Rattus norvegicus: one gene and its partners. The protein of the gene in region 1 interacts with the protein of each later gene in a pairwise test. Links are inferred from orthologs where the notes say so. Each region holds a gene or a part of one and is shown in the gene's direction. Other genes may lie near its edges. The genes, in order: Banp, Sp2 and Foxm1.

Region 1 (3,646 bases):
CCCAGGCTTACAGAGGCTGCCACAGTAACTGCCACTGTCAATGCTGGATACCTACAGAGGCCTGAGGCTAAGAGCTTGCTTTGCCAGCCAGAGACATCATAGTAGAGGTGCATGGTAGGGGTTAGCAGAGCTGATAAGGTGTCTGTGAACAGGCATGTGCCTTACTTACAGATGTGTGCATGTGCACATCTATGACCACAGGTGTCTGAAGACATGTATAGGCATACTTGTAACAGTTGATGGCATATGAAGACATATGGCTTGATGAATGGCCATCAAGTCAGGCCCATCTGTTGAGCTCAGAGCCCTTACCCCATGGAGCCTTTCACTCTTGGACACAGGGTCATTCTGCCGTTGGAGCAGTTCTAGTGTTTGTATCCTTTCCTTCCTTCTGAAGCCTGCTGATTCTGCTGTTCAAGGAACGTGTGGAGAGCCCCCCTTTGCCTCTACCTGGGTTACCCTGGTGGATGGCCCTGGGTAGGTCAGGGGAGACAGGCACCAGTGGGCCATAGATACTGTCCTGTCTGCTTGAGCCCAAGTTCTGGCAGTGAGACCAGGAAGCTCCTGTGACTCAGGTGCTGGAGGGAAGTGTTCACTGGTCCTTAGAGATGGCTTTGGTAGCCTGTAGGGTTATCATAGGAGCCCATGGGACCCACTAAGATCCACAGGAGCTGCTGAGTAGGGAGACCAGGAAGACTGCTGGGTGAGCAATGCAGGGGAGGAGAGGTCCCAAGCTGCGCTGGCTACCCAGGAAAGGCCCAGGCCAGCATATACAATGGAGAGTCTGGAAGAGCCGGGCTCCATCCAAGTCTGCCACCAAGGGCTGTCCCCAAGCAGGAGCTCGGTTTACCGTCTCCTGACTGTAAAATCCCCCGTTTTGTTTCAAGTTGAACTGCTTGGTCAGATGAGGGAGAGCACCATGCCTGGAGAAATGTAGTTCTTAGCAAAAATAACGAACTTGCCTGCAAGTCAGAGTGAGTGAAGGAGGAATCTAGAGGCTTCTGTCACTGATGCTTATAAGATTGGATCATTTTACCCTGTTTCAGGCTTTTCCTGCTGGAAGGAGCCATGCTTTATCTAAACAAGGAGTCATTATTGTCAGCCAGCTGTGGGCAACTCAGCATCTGTTGCCCTGCTTTCCTCTGCAGAGGGAGGGAGTGGCCAGTGGCATTGTGCAGTAGCTGTGCCAGAGTGGGTGTGGAATAGGGGACGCTGAGGTATCTGGGATAGAAGCAGCAGGCAAGTGTTTATGTTGAGTTCTGAGCTTGCCTGGAAACCAGTTCCCAGATGTGTGTCTGCACACCCTTCTTCCTTTAGTTAACCTGGATTGAGCACCTAGAGAGGGCTGAGGACTGGCTCCCCTGTTTTTGAACATCCCACTGCCTATCACCATGGCCCATGGGGTAGCTGACCAATGTGTGGTTCCTGTGAGGCCCAGGAAACTTTCCTCCTATCCCCACATGTTGACATAGAGAAGAGCAGCCATAAGCAGCTCGAGAGGTGTGTCTTGAGGGCCAGAGTTGTGCAGAGACAGGCTGTTATTGTTGCTGTTGTCTCTTGGCTGTCAGGCCTCCATAGATGAGGGGAATCACACTGGAAGTGAGATTGACCCAGAAGCCACTGCACTCCCCAGGAAGGAGGTAGATAGACTGCTTCCCAGAGGAATGCTGGGAGTTCTCCTTATTAGAATCCAGCATGAGTCGGCAGTCACATCCCCAAATAGTTGTCTCACTTTTTTTTAGTTATTCAAAAATATTAAAAAGGACTTTAAAGTCATTAAAAATATTTTCCCAGTGCCTGTGAACCTGGGTCTATTTTGGTTTGGCAGACCCTCATTAGCATAAGAGACACTGTCCTTATTTACAGTGTGTCCTTTAAAAGGGCACATGTCATCTGACAGTCAAGCTAGCTGTTTACAAGTACAGCTCTTCTTAGAAGTTGTCTGGGTGAGTTTGTACTGCTGTCTCTGGTTGTGGGGAACCTCACGTGGTCCTCTCCATGCCAAATGTGCTTCCTACCCAGCAGTTCTGTCCACTGCTGGGGTTCTGTCCACTGTTGGGGTTGCACGTCTGGGCGCCCTGGCCTTCCCACCTAGGGCAGTACCCAAGGCTGATTGAAGGGCACCTGTGAGTGCGCAGATGGAGGCTCTGTATTGCCTGCCTCGAGCCTCCTGCCCGGTCGTGTGAGCAGCAGGTGGAGTTTGTGGGAAGTGAATCAGTGGGATGGATTTCCAGAGCTGGAGTCACCCAAGCTTATTCCTCCTACTCCACATCCATTCTGAGGCAGGGTCACTGTCAGGCAGGGTCAGGACGATGGAGGGATGCAGCAAAGAGGACTGAAGGATCTGTTCTGTAGTGACCTGCCCCTGGTGTCTCTGCTCACACCCTCCCCTTGGAGCCTGTTTGCCCCTCACTGTCCCTGCCACAGTAGCTCTTCCCTTCTTTCTTCTTTGTGTGCGTGTGTCCGAGTGCGTGTGTGTGTGTGTCCGAGTGCGTGCGTGCGTGTGTGTGTGCGCGCACGTGTTTGTGGATGGTGTCCTCATCTCTCTTCACCTTATTTTTCCTGAGGGTTTCTCACTGAACCTGCAGCTCACTGTTTGGCTAGGCTGGCCGTGATCCACCTCCAGCAGTCTTCCTGGTTGGGGTTACCCAGCTGCTCCTGATTTGTGTGTGGATACCGAAGATCCAGGCGCAAGTCCTCATGCTGGCACACAAGCAGTACACCTACTGCAGCCCTCCCTCTCCTTTTGTTTCTCTATCTAAAGTTATTGGCTCCACATGGGCTCTGTGCGGGGTTTGTTAAGCTCTCCCGCTGTCTTCAGTGTGCCTGTGCAGTCTTCAAGTTCTAGCTTATTGGTTTCCACACGGGCTTTAAAAGACTAATGTCTGTGTGTAACAAGGGTGTTTCTGCAAGACTAAGTGTGAATGTGGCAGATTTCATGACAGTCAAAACTCAGCACGTCAGGTGGGTGTGTCTGCAGTGGGCACTGAGGCTCCATTGCATTCACATCCATGCTGTGGGCCTGGGCCTCTTATTGCTTCTGAACCAGAAGAGGATAGGGGTCTGCTGACCCAAGCTCCACTGACCAACCTGGCTTTGTCCCCAACCCCAGGTACTGCAGGGTGCTCAGCTCATAGCCGTGGCCTCTTCAGACCCTGCAGCTACAGGAGTAGATGGGTCGCCTCTCCAGGGCAGTGACATTCAGGTTCAGTATGTCCAGCTGGCGCCCGTGAGTGACCACACGGCTGCAACGCAGGTGAGTCCTGTCCCTCTCAGTCCCACCAGCCTCCCTGGTAGATACTGAACTTGGACTGTGACTGACATTCCTAGAACTAGGAACCCTTGTCGAGAAGCATACAGGTCTGGCAGAGGCATGGAGCTTCTGTTCACTCTGAACTCCTAAAGTCAGAATGTGTGGGCTCCTCTGATCTCGGCCCGGCAAGGGCAGGTGACCGTGGTAGGAGCAGAAGACTCAACAGTCCGGTTCTGTACCATGTGAAGTCTCCCTCCTCCTCTGCACACCTTGCTGGCACTGGCAGCTCCCCTTCCTCTGTGTGGTCCAAGCCTGGTGCAGTCCGCAGTGCAGGCTCTCACAGAGGTTGCTGCTCCCCTGAACCCGAGAACCAGGCTTTGGCCGTAGGCTGGT
Region 2 (3,646 bases), on another chromosome or scaffold:
GGACCTCTGGGAGAGCAGTCAGTGCTCTAACCACTGAGCCATCCCTCCAGCCCTCACTGTTCATTCTTGTGTGTAGTTGTTGGCTGTGTAGTCTGTGACCTACATATCAGTTCGTATCATATCAGTTGTTCTGTGTAAAGGTGTAAATCCACCTAAAGCAGTGCTTCTCACCTTCCTGACGCTGTGACCCTTTAATACAGTCCTCATGTTGTGGGAATCCCTGGACATTAAATTATTTTTGTCTGCCACTCCACAGCCTTTACGTTGCTACTGTCACGAAGTGCAACGTAAATACTTTTGGAGAGAGAGGCTTGCCAAATGGGTCCTGGCCCATAGGTTGAGAACTGCCGACTTAAAGGATTTGCCATCTACTGGTTCCTAGGGGCCCTTGTGTCTGGGTGTGAAGGTTGTGCAGACAGCCTTTAGAATAGGACAGGAGTGTCCTGCTGCTCAGGAATGCTGGCCTAGCCTTTCCTCACTCCCAGACTAGTTTGCTTTTAGCTTCAGCTGGATTGAGCTGGTAGCCTTAGCACAAGACTTGGCTAGAGGCTCTGCCCCAGGAGGAGATTCAGAATCAGAGGGCTACCAGTGTCCACCAGGGGGCACTCTGGACTCACCACAGCCAGTCCTGACACAGGAGTCTCCCAGTTTTCCCAGTCTTAGACACTTGTGGGGACAATGTGAGAAGGCAGGCCTGGCCTGAATGGATGAGTGTAAGCAAAGCAGAAGTCACCCAGACAAACCCCGGGCTGTGATGCTAGATGCTAGAAAGCCCAGGGCCTTGCAGGAAATGCTGTTAACCTGTTGGAAAAGCAGCAACAGAGGCAAAAAAAAAAAAAAAAAGCTGAGGCAAGGGGCCTTGGTTTCTCTTCAGGTGTTTGTTTTTATATCGCTCCATCTTTCTCCCGACAGATTCACAGATGAGCATGGCCGCCACTGCTGCTGTCAGTCCCAGTGACTACCTGCAGCCTGCTGCCGCTGCTACCCAGGCAAGTGCACAGTGGGCTCTGAGGCAGGGCCAGAGCCTGGGTGGGTTACTGAAGTGGGTTTTCTAGCTCACTCAGACCTGTCCTGCAGACACCCAGGGAGATTTGCTTATTCTCATTTCTGAACTAATCAGGCAAAATGAGCAGTGTTAGACTTGGCCCCTGGTGGCCGGGGCCACGGCTGTTAATAGAGTCTTTGCTGCACATTGATGAGTACCTGAGTTCAAGCCCAAGTACCCATGTCAAAGCTGAGCTGGGCTTGGTAGTACACACCTGTAATCCTAGCACCAGAGAGGCAGACACAGAGCCGCCACTGAGGTGCACTGGTCAACTAGTCTTGCCCAGTCAGTAAGTTTAAGATTCAGTAGGAGACCCTGCCTCAAAAATTAAAGTAAGGGAGATGGAGAGACGCTCAGTGGCTTAAGAGCACTGGCTGCTTTTCCAGAGGACCGGGTTTGATATGGCAACTCAGACTCCATTATCAAGTGATCTGATGCCCTCTCTGGCCTCTGAGAGCATCAAGTACAAGTACTTGAGTGATACATAGACACACACGTAGGCAAAACACCCAAATACATAAATAAACAATTTCGCAAACAGGGTAGAGTCATAGAGTAAGAATTTAACCTTAGGGACTGGAGAGATGGCTCAGTGGTTAAGAGCACTGAGTGCTCCTCCAAAGGTCCTGAGTTCAAATCCCAGCAACCACATGGTGGCTCACAACCATCTGTAATGAGATCTAATGCTCTCTTCTGGTGTGTCTGAAGATAGCTACAGTGTACTTATATATAATAAATTACAAAAAGAAAAAAAAGGAAAAAAAAGAATGACTCAATAAACTGGGAGATTTAAAAAAAAAGAAAGAAGGGGCTGGGGATTTAGCTCAGTGGTAGAGCGCTTGCCTAGGAAGCACAAGGCCCTGGGTTCGGTCCCCAGCTCCGAAAAAAAGACCAAAAAAAAAAAAAAAAAGAAAAAGAAAAAAAGAATTTAACCTTAGGCTCTGGCCTCCACACACACTGACTCAGATATACCTATGTCCTTCACACACATACGTGGATTCAACACACTCCAGAACACAACCAGAAACCCCTTACGAGAGCGAGTTCATATGCTCTCCCTCCCTGTGCTGAGTTGGTAGACATCTGATGCCTGGGTGTGTACCTATCCCTGCCAACACTGGGCCAGCAAGGCCTGTGGGAGAACAGCCTATGCTGTTGGTCTGTCATGTCCAGGGCTACTGCGTGCGTGCGTGTGTGTGTGTGTGTGTGTGTGTGTGTGCATGCGTGTTAGTTTGCCACAGGGGTGGGGAAGAACTCATAGGGTTGGGGAGCTGCTGAGAAGAGAGGATGACAAATCTAGCTAGTGGACTCATCTCACTCCTTACTTCTGCTGATTTTTGCAGGACTCCCAGCCGTCTCCCTTGGCTCTGCTTGCTGCAACATGTAGCAAAATTGGCCCCCCAGCTGTTGAAGCTGCAGTGACACCTCCTGCTCCCCCCCAACCTACCCCAAGGAAACTGGTCCCTATCAAACCCGCCCCTCTCCCTCTCAGTCCCTGCAAGAATAGCTTTAGCATCTTGTCATCTAAAGGAAATATACTTCAGATTCAGGGCTCCCAGCTGAGCGCCTCCTACCCTGGAGGGCAGTTTGTGTTTGCGATCCAGAACCCCACTCTGATCAACAAAGGGAGCCGATCAAATGCAAGTATCCAGTACCAAGTCCCTCAGATTCAAGGGAACAGTTCCCAGACCATCCAGGTGCAGCCCAATCTCACCAACCAGATCCAGATCATCCCAGGCACCAACCAAGCCATCATCACCCCGTCAACATCCGGTCATAAGCCTGTCCCCATCAAGCCAGCTCCTGTCCAGAAATCAAATACGACCACCACCCCTGTGCAGAGCGGGGCCAACGTGGTGAAACTGACAGGTGGGGGTGGCAACATGACGCTCACCCTGCCACTCAACAACCTGGTGAACACCAGCGATATTGGGGCCCCTGCTCAGCTCCTCACTGAGAGCCCCCCGACCCCACTGTCTAAGACTAACAAAAAAGCTAGGAAGAAGAGCCTTCCTGTGTCACAGCCCTCAGTAGCTGTGGCTGAACAGGTGGAGACGGTACTGATCGAGACCACAGCAGAGAACATCATCCAGGCAGGAAACAACCTGCTGATCGTCCAGAGCCCTGGTGGGGGCCAGCCCGCTGTGGTCCAGCAAGTCCAGGTGGTGCCACCCAAGGCCGAGCAGCAACAGGTGGTCCAGATCCCCCAGCAGGCACTGCGGGTGGTGCAGGCTGCCTCTGCCACCCTCCCCACCGTTCCCCAGAAGCCCTCCCAGAACTTTCAGATCCAGACAACTGAACCAACACCAACCCAGGTACCACAGCCCCTCTCCCTTCCCTCCCTCTCTGCTCACCCCTTTGGCTTGCTTTTGAAACAGAGGCAGATCAGCAGCAGATCTGATGGGAAGCTGGAGTCACCATCATTTGGGGTGGCAGGAAATGGCTTCTGCCCTGAGATCTCTTCAGGTCTTAGGCCAAGTAGACATAGTTCCCTCTGTAGAAAGCAGATGGAACAGGGAAAACTGGTCTGTTTTTTCTTTCCTTATGGAGTAGCTCTGGGGCCATAACAGGCTAGATATGTATACTTTCATAATAAAGTAT
Region 3 (3,746 bases), on another chromosome or scaffold:
AAACAAAATCTAAGTCAGGTTTTGCACAATCTTGGCCTTTTTTTTTTTTTTTTAATTTTGAGATAGAGTCTTACTATGTAGCCTTGGCTAGCCTGGGGCTGGCTATGAATACCTGGCTGGCCTGGAATTCACAGAGATCCGCCTGCTTCTGCCTCCTGGGTGCTGGGATTAAAGGCGTGAGCCACCACATTCTGGTGTCAGTGAAAACCCACCAGCCTCTAACCTGTTCACCTCTCAAACACAGTCTTTATCTGCTCCCCATCTCATAGCATACCACGCCCCCTAAGTCTTAGTTCAAATCCCTGTGACCTTCAGCCTTTGTGTTCACCAGCCTAGCCTCCTCCAGTCAAAACATCTCCCTTCTTTTTTTTTTTTTTTTTGGTCTTTTTTTCGGAGCTGGGGACCGAACCCAGGGCCTTGTGCTTCCTAGGCAAGCGCTCTACCACTGAGCTAAATCCCCAGCCCCAAACATCTCCCTTCTTAATCTAGCTGCTTCAATGTTTCCTTCCCTTCTGTGTAATGGGTGACAGATCTTACACCTTGTTCTCAGCTCATAAGGAAGGAAGGAAGGAAGGAAGGAAGGAAGGAAGGAAGGAAGGAAGGAAGGAAGGAAGGAAGGAAAAAGAGAGGAAGAAAGAAAGGAAAAAGAAAGGCTTTCCTGCCCTAAGTCAAGATTTTCTCGTTAAAATAAATACTCAAATTTATCACTGGCGGCTGCGGGAGGGCGAGCCAGTGACCCGGGCTACTCCGAAGGCGGAAACACGAGAATCGAGAATTCTACACATGGGGATACCCGGGGTCAGACAAAACCCACCGGCCTCTAACCTGTTCCTCTGTAGCTAGAATTCTACCGATCTGTTCATCTCATTCTGGGCTCCCTCTCCATCAGACCACCGGTGAGCCCAGGGGAAGGACGGCCCGGTCTGCCACTGTACCTTCCACTCTTTCGTAAAGTATGGAAAAAAGATCGTCCGGACACCTCGGGGCTGGGCCCGAGGTGGAGGCGGCCACAGACAGGGGCGGGGCGTAGGGCACTTAACCGCAAGTCTGGGGACAGAAACCCAAGCTGGACCCCACGCAGCAACGAGGGCTGAGCCGCGCGGTGGATCCAGAGGTAGCCCAGTGGGTAGCTAACCGGGGGAGTGGCGTACGCTGCCCCGGAAGGAAGTCGACCACGGAGGCAGGGCGGTCCGGGGCGGGGCGGAGCAGGCTGCTGGCCGCGGTCCGCGCGTCCCCGCGTCCCTCCCGCCGTCCCTCGAGCTCCGGGGCCCCCTTACCCGCCCTCCCGGCCGCGGCCGCCGCTCCTCAGGACGCCGAGCGTTCGGGGCCGGAACCCGGAGACAAGCCGGTGCCGATTGGCGACGCTCCGTCACGTGACCGCAACGCTCCGCCGGCGCCAATTTCAAACAGCGGAACAACTGAAAGCGGCGCTGCGGGACCCACCCCCGGCCCGGGCTCACCCCCCACCCCGCCCCGGGTTCCCACCCCGGCCGTCCCGCCGGGACCCGCCCGCCCTGGCCTGGCTCGGCCCCGCGTGGAGCAGCGGTGGCCTGTGAGGTGAGTGGGGTGCGACCCGGTCCGGGGAGGGCTTGGAGTCGGGACTGCCGGGGCTGTGGGGCGCGAGGGGGTGTTGAGGACCGCCAGGAAGAAAGTCTGAGCCGCCGGCCTCGGCTTTCCCGCCGCGTTCTCCGAGCACCCCGGGACCCTGGGAACAGGCCTGCCCTCTGAGTCTGCACTTGCAGTCAACCCTGCCTCCGCCTCCACAGCTGCAGGGTGGGATCCTAGCTGAGCGTTGCAAGGTTCCCGGTTCTGTGTGGAGAATGGGGTCTTTGGGGATGGCTCTGCAAGTCGCCTTGCGCTAGAAGATTTTGGGAGTGTTAGGAAAAGGCTGGTCAAAGAGAGAGGTACCCTATGGTGGGGGGTGTCTACCATTTGATTGGGGTGGGTGCAGTGTGAAGCAAAACGAGAACTGAGATTTGAAGGTCGAGAGAACGAAGTATAAAGGAGAGAAAGCTACAGGGAGGAAGGGACCTAAGAAGGCTAAGCAGCTGGCAAATGTCAAAAAAGTGTAATTACTTTTTGGAAGGTTTCCTAAAGTGCCGGCTGTTTCTCCCTTTCTCGCAGGATTGCAAAATGGAGTGGCAGGATTTAATTTAATGATAAATTATTCTATCTATCTATAAAAACCTATGAAATGCTTTTTCTAAAGACTTCCTTCCTTAGCATTTCAAAGTGACTTTAGCATAGCCAGGCATAGTGGTGAATGCCTGTAATCTCAGCACCTAGAAAATTGGGGGCCAAAGGCTCAGTGGTTCAAAACCAGCCTGGGCTACATGAGACGCTATCTCAAAAATTAAAGCCACCTTAAGCATATTAATGATAGCACATTTTGGTATGGAGAAGATCTGTATTACAGTCTTTAGAAGCAGAAAAATCAAGTATTATACTTATAAAACTAAAATATAGTTACTCTCAAGTACCAAAATGTCACTGTGCAAATGCTTTGCAGATTTTGAAAGAAAGAATGGGACTGGAGAGATGGCTCAGTGGTTATTGACAACTATTGAAAAAAATTATTTTTAATTCAAGAGGATTGGAGTTTTTAATTGTAGTGTGCTTACCAAGCATTCACAAAGCTCCAGGTTCAATTCCTACCACTACCTAAACCTGGCATTGTAGCCACACCTGTGATTCTGGCAGGTGGAGGCAGGAGAATCAGACGTGTAGGTCAGCTGCATTATTTGAGACGGAAAGAAAAGGGCACTAGGACTATGGCTTGGGTAGAGTCTTTCATTCGTCCCTACAGTCATCGAGAGTGACCTGCATTCTAGTGGACAGTGGCTGGTATTTCCACATTCTTGTAGATGTGTATTCCTCTGGCCAAACATTCAAAAAGAGGTTTTTGCATTTTTACTGGGGCGGGGGTTGGGGAGGAGGGTTGCCCACATGCCACAGCACATGTATGGAGGTTGGAGGGTAACAGTCAGGAGCTGATTCTCTCTTCCCACCATCGTGGTCCTGGGGACTGAATGCAGGTGGCCAGGCTTAGCAGCTGATGGTTTCGGTCATTGAGCCATCTTGCCAGCCTCCCCTCCCTCCCAAATCTTTCTAGTTTGTTTGCCTTTTTGTAGTACTGGGAACTGAACTTAGGGCCTTGCTAAGCAAGCACTCTATTACTAAGCTACATTCTCAGCCTGGCCAAACATTCTTAAGCTTACAGGGGACCATGCACTTCAGTGCAGTCCCATGTTCCCATCTTGAAGTGTTTGCTGCAGTTTTCAGCTTTCCTTGGTCAGTGATAGGGCTTTATTTGTTTGTTCTTGTTTGCTCGTTTGTTTTTGAGACAGGGTCTCATGTGGCCCATGCTGACCTTGAATTCACTCTCTGGCTAAGGGTGACCTTAAACCTTCTAGGTGCTGGGATCACAAGTGTGCATCAAACCTAGCTTCTGTCCTTATTGTCTGAGGGTTGGACAAAGGTCCAGGCAGGATTCCCCTGGGCCTTTGAGCTTCTGCTTCTGTCTGTTCATGCAGAGGAACACTTCCAGTTTGTCTCAGCCCAGCAGATCTGATAGCAAGCTTCTCCTTGCCCTCTGCAGGGTCAAAGCTTGTGATTCTCGATGGAGAGTGAAAGCACAGCTTCATGATGAGAACCAGCCCCCGGCGGCCACTGATTCTCAAGAGACGGAGGCTGCCCCTTCCTATTCAAAATGCCCCGAGTGAAACCTCAGAGGAAGAAGCAAAGAG

The links.
Region 2: the proteins of Banp (region 1) and Sp2 interact in binary tests that used the Homo sapiens proteins (3 or more experiments, as listed by UniProt). The two-hybrid records come from large-scale screens. The link is inferred for Rattus norvegicus from reciprocal best matches to the Homo sapiens genes BANP and SP2.
Region 3: the proteins of Banp (region 1) and Foxm1 interact in binary tests that used the Homo sapiens proteins (3 or more experiments, as listed by UniProt). The link is inferred for Rattus norvegicus from reciprocal best matches to the Homo sapiens genes BANP and FOXM1.

What each region holds. Positions count from the first base shown.
Region 1 is NC_086037.1:66,985,913-66,989,558, forward strand, and holds part of Banp (protein BANP), read left to right. Parts: intron 1-3,112; coding exon 3,113-3,256; intron 3,257-3,646. UniProt on the Homo sapiens protein: Controls V(D)J recombination during T-cell development by repressing T-cell receptor (TCR) beta enhancer function. Binds to scaffold/matrix attachment region beta (S/MARbeta), an ATC-rich DNA sequence located upstream of the TCR beta enhancer.
Region 2 is NC_086028.1:82,444,464-82,448,109, reverse strand, and holds part of Sp2 (transcription factor Sp2), read left to right. Parts: exon of another isoform or gene 1-801; intron 802-912; coding exon 913-989; intron 990-2,388; coding exon 2,389-3,360; intron 3,361-3,399; exon of another isoform or gene 3,400-3,539; intron 3,540-3,646. UniProt on the Homo sapiens protein: Binds to GC box promoters elements and selectively activates mRNA synthesis from genes that contain functional recognition sites.
Region 3 is NC_086022.1:163,324,233-163,327,978, forward strand, and holds the start of Foxm1 (forkhead box protein M1), read left to right. Parts: upstream 1-1,395; 5' UTR 1,396-1,557; intron 1,558-3,598; 5' UTR 3,599-3,642; coding exon 3,643-3,746. UniProt on the Homo sapiens protein: Transcription factor regulating the expression of cell cycle genes essential for DNA replication and mitosis. Plays a role in the control of cell proliferation. Also plays a role in DNA break repair, participating in the DNA damage checkpoint response.